Linked DNA regions of Callithrix jacchus. The protein of the gene in region 1 purifies or fractionates together with the protein of each later gene. This does not show direct contact. Links are inferred from orthologs where the notes say so. Each region holds a gene or a part of one and is shown on either strand. Other genes may lie near its edges. The genes, in order: VCAM1 and MSN.

Region 1 (3,813 bases):
AATATTATTTTTAGTTGCTAAATCATGATTGTGTACATTTATAGATTACAATGTGATGTTGGATTTAGGTGTACAATGTAGAATGATTAAGTCAAGTCAACATATCCATTGCCTCACTTATTTTTTTGTGGTGATACATTTGAAATTCACTTTCTTAGCTATTTTTAAATATATAATACATTATCATTAATTATAGTCATCATGATATGTAGTAGATCCCAACAACTTACGCTCCTGTCCAACTGAACCTCTGTACCCTTCGGCCAACATCTCATTCCCTTCCTCTCCTCCCCCAAGCCTCTGGTAACCACCATTCTACTCTCTGCTTCTATGACTTTAGAAGTAGAGCCCACATATAGGTGAGATCACGAGGTACTGGTCTCTGTGCCTGGCTTGTTAGACTTAGCATGATGTCCTCTGGGTTCATCCCTGGTGTTGCAAATGACAGAATTTCCTCTTTTGTTTTTTAAGGCTAAACAGTATTTCACATATTTTATGGCTAATTGTCTTTAAATAGTCTCCCTGCTAACGTTCTGTCCCCCGTATAATCAATCTTATGCACCATTCCCGGAGTTTATTACCTTAAACAAAAAGGTGCTCATTTTCTATAATTTCAATCACATTTCTTAAAACAGTCACAGAGAACTCTTTATGGTCTGGTCAGAGACTCCCTCTGCAGCTTTGTTGATAACTGAGTGTGTCTGCTTGTGCTGTTCCTTCTGCCTGAAATGGCCTCTCTCCTTCCTTCATCTGGCAAAGTCTTAGCCATTCTCGAAGACAAAGCTCACGTCAGCCTCCCAGTTCCAGACTGTGTCAGACCAAATGACTTACTCTTTCCTTTGTGTACACTCAACGGTCCTTATAATCATGTACGCACTTCTGTTCAGTTCAACGCATATTAAGAGCCCTTATCCAAGAATCCAAGATTTGTACTTGGTACTGGGGGTACATACATAAAAAAGATATGACAACTTCCCTAAGGGAGCATACAAACTAGGAAGGACAGTCATATAAATAGATAATTCCAATATTCTTTAGCAAGAGACAAAATATTATGTCTTTTTAAATGTATCTTTCCACTAAACTGTAAAATCCTGCTGTGGGCACAATGGTTCATGCCTATAATCCCAGCACTCTGGGAGGCTTAGGTGGAAAGATCGCTTGAGGCCAGAAGTTTAAGACCAGCCTGGGCAACATAACGAAACCCCCTGTTTCTATTTAATTAAAAAAAATCTGTAAACTCCTTAAAGTCAGGAATTCTGTGTATGTGTGTGTGTGTGAATGTTTGGATTCTTAGCACATTACCTAATACATAATAAATGTTTAGCAAATGCTTGTTGAATTAATGAGTAGATTATAAACTTGGAAAGCATAGTCTTTTGTTTGTTTTGGGAGATGAGGTCTTGCTATGTCACCCAGGCTGGACTCAAGTGATCCTCCCGCCTTAGCTGGGCTCACTCCTGGGCTCAAGTGATCCTCCCGCCATAGCTGTCTGAGTAGCTAGGATTATAGCCACTATACCCAGCTCAAATTTTTAAAATGTGAAAACACGGTATTTAAACTTGAACAATTAAAATGAAAATCAAACTCACCATAAGTAGATTACCTCAGTTGGATGTTATCTACTGAGCATTCTCCAGTGACCATGAAAGACGTTACGCTAATAAAACCGCATAAAGCCAATCATTCATCCTGGAATAGTGCCACCCCATAATAAACTGTATCCTATTTCAATGTACGAAGGGTATGTATTTTGGATTTGGGGAGAGTTGTTTTGTGCTTTTCATCACACGGGATACTACTGAGCTAAAGTACTGGAGATACTTTTAAAAAGGCTTTCAGCCACCTAAAGGGGTTACTCCTCCAGTGATTCCAAGTTCACATGACAATACACGTGGCCACTGTAAAGAATAATCTGATAAATGTTCACAGGCAGGAAGTGGATCTGTTTTTAAAGTTCCTCATTCTCACACTAGCATATAAGAAATGTGGAAGCTCTGGTTGTTTTTGTGAATGAGCTCTCTTTAAAATCTAATAGGATGTCAGTTTATTGAGGCGATTTGAGGAGAATCTACTTTACAAAATGCTAAGATGTCACAATTAGACAAACCTATTGAGAAAAATAACTTATGGCACAGATGAGAGACACGTAAGATGTAATATGTTTGGATTATTCATATTTTGAGATTCTTTCTTTTATCTCAAGCCTGTAATTTACAAGGAAGATTTCAGTGATTTTTATGTGGGGAGAGGCGGGTCTCATCTGTTGCTTTCAGAGTTGCCCAAACACTCCCAGTTTCTTCAGGGGAGTAGAGCCAGAATGTGGTGTTCCCTTTCTCCCTAAATAGCAGTCGTCCAAAAGAAGCCCCTGTACCCAGCAGGGATAGCACTGATGGCCAAAGAGCATTCCTAGATATTTGGGTCTTAGGAGTTTGCCCTCACATCTTAGCTTTCAGATGCTGAATTAATTGTAAAGTGTTTTCATATTGCATCAGGCAAATTTCGGAGGTGACTTATGTATCTCTTTAATGCTTAGATTTTGACTTTGATTTCGGGGTGAATCTATGTGACTTTCAATGGTATAACAGTATTATTGAAACAGAAGCTCTAAATACTTGCCCACTGTGGGTATTATATCTAATTAGAATACATTCTGTAGCTTTTTCCAGCACCTCTTTTAGATCGTTTTATCGCCATATGAGGATGACTTGATTTAGTTGTAGCAACTGAAAAACTGAGATCTTGAATCGGACCCACCTGGCATCAAGTCCTAATTTTGCTACTTACTTGCAAACTGGGCAAAGTTATTCAGTGCCTAATTCTGAGCCTAAATTTCCTCAAGAAGAAAAAGGAGGGGAAAAAGGAGGAAGAGAAAGAGTAGAAGCACAAAGAGAAAGAGAAGACAAAGAAGAAAATAGTACCAGTGTATGAAATTGTTGTGGGGATTAAATGAGATATATATACACACACACACATAGTATATATACACACTATATAGTATATATATGCTATATATGTATATGATGTATATATATAGTAATTTACATAGTGCTTGACACACAAGAACCACTTAAATTATTTGAACAATTGTTCACTCTTACAGTGATTTGATAAACTACATTTGAACAGAGACTTGATTATTGCTATGAAGAGATACCAACCTCTCTTGACAAAATTGTATCTATTCATTTTGTTAAATGAATGAATCAACAAGCTATTATAGTTTTATTCTTAAAGGATGTGATCTCTTTTGTTATGGTCCGAAGGTAAAAAAGAGCAATTTCTTCTTGGCATAGATGTTAGCTGAAAGGGGATCAGGAAAAATAAAGATCATATGTCAGAATGTGATAAAAGAAGAAAAGAGTACGTTCTTTTCATCTTGTTTTCCACCTCTGTTCCAGAGAAACCATTTACTGTTGAGATCTCCCCTGGACCCCGGATTGCTGCTCGGATTGGAGACTCGGTCGTGTTGACATGTGGTGTCATGGGCTGTGAGTCACCATCTTTCTCCTGGAGAACCCAGATAGATAGTCCTCTGAGTGGGAAGGTGAGGAGTGAGGGGACCAATTCCACACTGACCCTGAGCCCTGTGAGTTTTGAGAACGAGCACTCTTACCTGTGCACAGTGACTTGTGGACGTAAGAAAGTGGAAAAGGGAATCCAGGTGGAGCTCTACTGTAAGTGCTTTTCAGAATCGTTTACTTTTCATTTTCTTTTTAAGTTTCATTGGAAGAAAAAGAATGCAAAATCTGTGATGTGTAATGAGATCCATATGTTTAGAAAAGGAATTTAGCATTGTGAATTGCTCCCAAA
Region 2 (4,554 bases), on another chromosome or scaffold:
GGAATCAACTTCCTTTCTCATCCTTTCGTAATGTCAGAGTGGGAAAGGACCTTGGAAGCCCAGGAGTCCAGTCCTTTCTTGCTACAGAAATGGAAACTCAAGCCCAGAGAGGGGAAGGGAATTACCCAAGGCCACATAGTGGTCACACGATGAGTTAATGGCAGAACTATGAGTAGAAGCCAGGTTTCCTGACCTCTCAAATGTCCTCTCTGTTGTCTCAAACCAGCTTACCATCTGTGTTGCTTTACCTCGCAAAGAATACTCAGACCATGCCCTCACATGGTTGCCAGTGGAGAGGAGAAAAAAAGGACTATGTCGAGCCACTTTCAAACTAAAACTCAGACTTATTTTATTTTACTTTTTTTGGAGATGGGAGTCTTGCACTGCTGCCCAGGCTGGAGTGCAGTGGTCCAATCTTGGCTCACTGCAGTCTCTGCCTCCTGGAAGCGATTCTCCTGCCTCATCTTCCCTAGTAGCTGGGACTATAGGTGTGCGCCATCACCTCTGGCTAATTTTTTTTTCTTTTTTGTATTTTTAGTAGAGATGGGGTTTCACCACATTGAGCAGGCTGGTCTCGAACTGTTGACCTCAAGTGATCTGCAGGCCTTGGCCTCCCAAAGTGCTGGGATTACAGGTGAGAGCCACTGCGCTCAGCCTCACTTATTTTGCTTTTACATGTACAGATACAGGAGAGGGTCTTGATATGTTCCCCAGGCTGGTCTTGAATTCCTGGGCTCAAGTGATCCTCCTGCATGAGCCTCTCAAAGTGTTGAGATTACAGTCATGAGCCACTGCACTCAGCCTAAAACTCAAACTTGACCAGACGACTGCAGCAGTCTAGAATACTGCCATCCTGGGATTCTGTGATCCTGACAAAAAGGAGAAAGGGAGCTGGCAGACAAATGTCAAGGGTATGCATTAGGGAGGTCACATCTAAACTGAGGGAATTAATAGCCAGATTCATCAGAATATCAGAACGTGAATGTACTGGGGGAGGACCTAAAGGATCAGGGCACTGATTTGAGGAAGGTGGAGATTGGGATTTAGAGGAAGCAAAGAGTAGAGAACAGATATGGGGAGAAGGAGGTCAAGTCTGTTGAAATGAGAACTGAGCAAGGATGGGGAGTAAATACGATGGGGAGAGTCCTACATAAGAGAATAGATGAAGTGTTGGAAGAGGTGAGACAGTTTAGCCAAAAGAAGCGTAGTTTCCTGTGGACCTGAGATCTTCAGGCCTTTGAGGAGCTGTTAGGGACAGCAGGGATCTGTGTGGCCTCAGGGAGCAGAGCTGAGATCCAAGCATGGAAGCCATAGAGAAAAGGAGTTCCGACATGCAAGAACTTTTTAAGAGTCAGGGTTGTTTTAAGAAGGAAAAGATAGCTGTGATAGGTAGTGAGCTCCCCATCGGTGGAAAGTTGCAGTCAGGGGTAATCATCTGTCAGGGTGCGGCCCAGGGTCTGGGCCCTGAGTGGGGGTGGGGCTGGAAGGCCGGGACGTGGAAGGCTAGGGGGTGTGAGGGGGGTGGGAGAGGAGCGGGGTGAGTCTGGGTCGGGAGTGGTAGCTCTGCTAGGTCCGCCTGGGCCCAGTCGGGCCCCCCACGTGGCCGCTGTGGCCTGGCTGCGCCGGGCTGGGCCAGGCTGGGCTGGGCGGGGCAAGGCCAGCGGTCGGCGGGGAGGCGGGCGCGAGGGCGGGGAGCGGCGCGGAAGCCCGGCCACATAAAGGAGCGGGCGGTGCGACGGGGGCGGCTCTTTCCTGGGTGGGGTTTGTGAAGTCGTGGCCCGTTAGCAGGAAGCCGAATAGTCGCCCCAACGCTACTGAGGACCCAATCTGAGTCCCCGGCCACCCGAATCCAATCCGTGTGTACTGCGTGCTCAGCACTGCCCGACAGTCCTAGCTAAACTTCGCTAACTCCGCTGCCTTTGCCGCCACCATGCCCAAAACGGTGAGTGCGGGGGTGGGCGCTGTCGACCCCAAGGGCTCCCGCTGAGCCTCATAGCCCTTTGCTGATGGCTGAGGGCTTGGCCAGCCACCGGCCAGCCTGGGACACCGCGCCCTCCGCCATAGCCTAGGGTAGGGAGGGGACCGGAGTGGGAATCCTGGTCTGGTGCGTCCTCAGGGGTTGAGGGGGTGTCTAGGCTGGAAGTTTGGACAGGGCGAGGCCTGCCTCTTTCTCAGGTTCCAGTTCCCTGTGTCTGAGATGCAAGAGTGAGGATGGCTTCGTTGGGGCTTGGGGATTCCCCTTTCCCCTGACGGGCCATGGGCACAGAGGAGAGGATTCTGGTCCAGAAGACAACGCTTCCCCCAACTCAGGAATTGGCACCTTTCAGGGGCAAGGCTGCCAATGTTCAAGAGGGGCCTTGGGAACACAGAAGCAGGGAGGAAGGAGGGAGCCGCTGGGGCGGATCCCACACCCCCACTCACCTTTTCCACAGCCTCACCGGGTGGCTCCAGCTGTTTTCCACTAGGAGGTAAGGAGAGAGATGTGAGGAAATCGTCATCGAGGCTGCACCCGAGAGCACCAACACTTCATTAGGCACCAGACTGAGGAGAGGCCTACCCTATCTCCTGGGAGAGAGGACCGGTTTCTCCCTCCTCTCCACCCGCAAATCCCTGCCTCTCCCATTGCTTAATGCCTCTCTATCTCCTCCTATACCCGCAGGACTATTTTGTGTGGTGTGGGTTCTCTCGTCGGGCCACACCTTTCTAGAGTGGTGGTTGATTTGGGGATGCGTCTCCACCCCAGTGGCTGTTATGAGAGGAACAGAAGCCTTCTGGGAGTGGGGTTAGGGGGGCCGGATGCCCAGGAGGGAGGAGGGAGGAGGGGTGTGCCTGACTAATGAGCTCTGCTTGCTTTTGTGCAAGTCATGCCAAATGGCTGCTGGGGCCATTCCCTTGCTCAGAAAGGCCTGGTGACTACCCTGGCTTGAGTCCCTTAGGCCAAACAGCTTGTTGGGCTGGCCTAGGCAATGCAATGCTCCCAGACATGTCTCCCCAAGACTACTTGAGCCTTGTAGAGGTGAGATAGTGACTAGTAGCCTTGGAAAGGGCTGAAGGCCCCTGGGATGAGAGGAGGCGAGTTGGGGGCCTAGCCTTTTGGGTTTGTGATGAGCTTTGGGTGCCACATTACTATATACCAGCCTCACTGCCAAGTCATTCTTGCCTTTCCAGAACGTTGTCCTTCAGAAACACCAAGTTTTAAAAAAATGTGTGCTTTCACTGTCTATCTCCTTTAGATTACTTGTGGTTTTAGGACATGAGGCTTTTACACACTTTCTTTCCAGCTCCCCTGCCCCCAAGGAGAGAGTAATGGTTTTGGAGACAGGGGAAAATACCCCATTGTCTGTCAAAACAGGATTATAAAGATCCTGTCAGGAGCGGCTTTTTGGGTCTCTCTCTATGGTTGACTCCTGACTCCTCTTAAGGTGTGGGTTTGCCTGAACAGTTGGGTGGATCTCTGGGAATAGACATTGCTCCTGGCCTTTCTTCTGTAGTGGCATATCTCATCCTCAATTCTGCCATATCCCACCTTGAAACACAACTTCATGGGCCTGGAAGTTGCCTCAAACTTGCATAAATCATCTCATCTCATTCAAAGTGGCAAAGAAGACAAGACAGTGTGTTTATTGTTTTCCTGAGAATGGAGAGAGATTGGAGTATAAGCTGTAGTCAGGCCTGGAGTAATGAAGGTGTCTAAATACTGAAGGCATTTTTATGCAGATTAACTGAAACCTGAATTAAATCAGAAGGAGATGGCTGAATTTTGATAGACTGGAAGCATTAGAGAATTTTCTATGCTTCGACTCGAGGAATGGTCAACTTTTAGAAAAAACAACTATATGTCTGTTAAGGCCATAGAATCTTAACCTGAAAGCGACCTTGGAGACTATCTATTTAGTACAACTCTCTTTAAAAACAAATAACAACAACAACAACAAAACTAATGAGGATACCGAGGCCTACAGAAAAAGACCTACCTAAGGGCATATGGTGACTGAGCCAAGATTGGGGTACAGGCTTTCTGATGCTCTTCTGATTGACCCTCTATTCTGACCCAATGATTGAGTTCTTCACATTTGAGTTCTCTTTCTTGCTCCAAGCAAATTGCCCCCTGTTCTCAGAACTTTATGGTCCTCAGATAAAACGAAATGAGTAATTTGAGCAAAGTGGCCAAGGTTGGCATTTGTGTCATCTGGTAAGGTTCAGCAGTGTCACCAGGTGCCTCCTGTTACTTTTCTTATTCCTCATCCCGAAGTCGAGCTGTTCAGGGACGCATCCTAGTTCACTAAATACCACCCAGTAACTTTAATGAAAAAAGGTAAAATATTTCCCTTTCCCTGCTCCCTTTTCATTGATGTGCTTTAAGCTATTTCTAGCATATGACAGATAGAGAAGGGTAGTGGAAAATGAAACTCGTTCATTCATATGAAGCGTGTCTACAGCCCATCTAGGGTCGGTTTCATTTTTATAGTCAATTGTCCCGCCTAGTCAGCCCAACCTCCCCTACATCTGTTAAAACATGCTGGCTGGGTGCAGTGGCTCATGCCTGTAATCCAA

Evidence for each region.
Region 2: the proteins of VCAM1 (region 1) and MSN purify together in Homo sapiens (affinity purification with western blotting; 3 studies listed by BioGRID, with this or other methods). This does not show direct contact. The link is inferred for Callithrix jacchus from reciprocal best matches to the Homo sapiens genes VCAM1 and MSN.

Annotation. Positions count from the first base shown.
Region 1 is NC_133508.1:145,132,264-145,136,076, reverse strand, and holds part of VCAM1 (vascular cell adhesion protein 1), read left to right. Parts: intron 1-3,401; coding exon 3,402-3,677; intron 3,678-3,813. UniProt on the Homo sapiens protein: Cell adhesion glycoprotein predominantly expressed on the surface of endothelial cells that plays an important role in immune surveillance and inflammation.
Region 2 is NC_133524.1:62,750,135-62,754,688, forward strand, and holds the start of MSN (moesin), read left to right. Parts: upstream 1-1,743; 5' UTR 1,744-1,930; coding exon 1,931-1,942; intron 1,943-2,421; exon of another isoform or gene 2,422-2,468; intron 2,469-2,699; exon of another isoform or gene 2,700-2,773; intron 2,774-4,554. UniProt on the Homo sapiens protein: Ezrin-radixin-moesin (ERM) family protein that connects the actin cytoskeleton to the plasma membrane and thereby regulates the structure and function of specific domains of the cell cortex.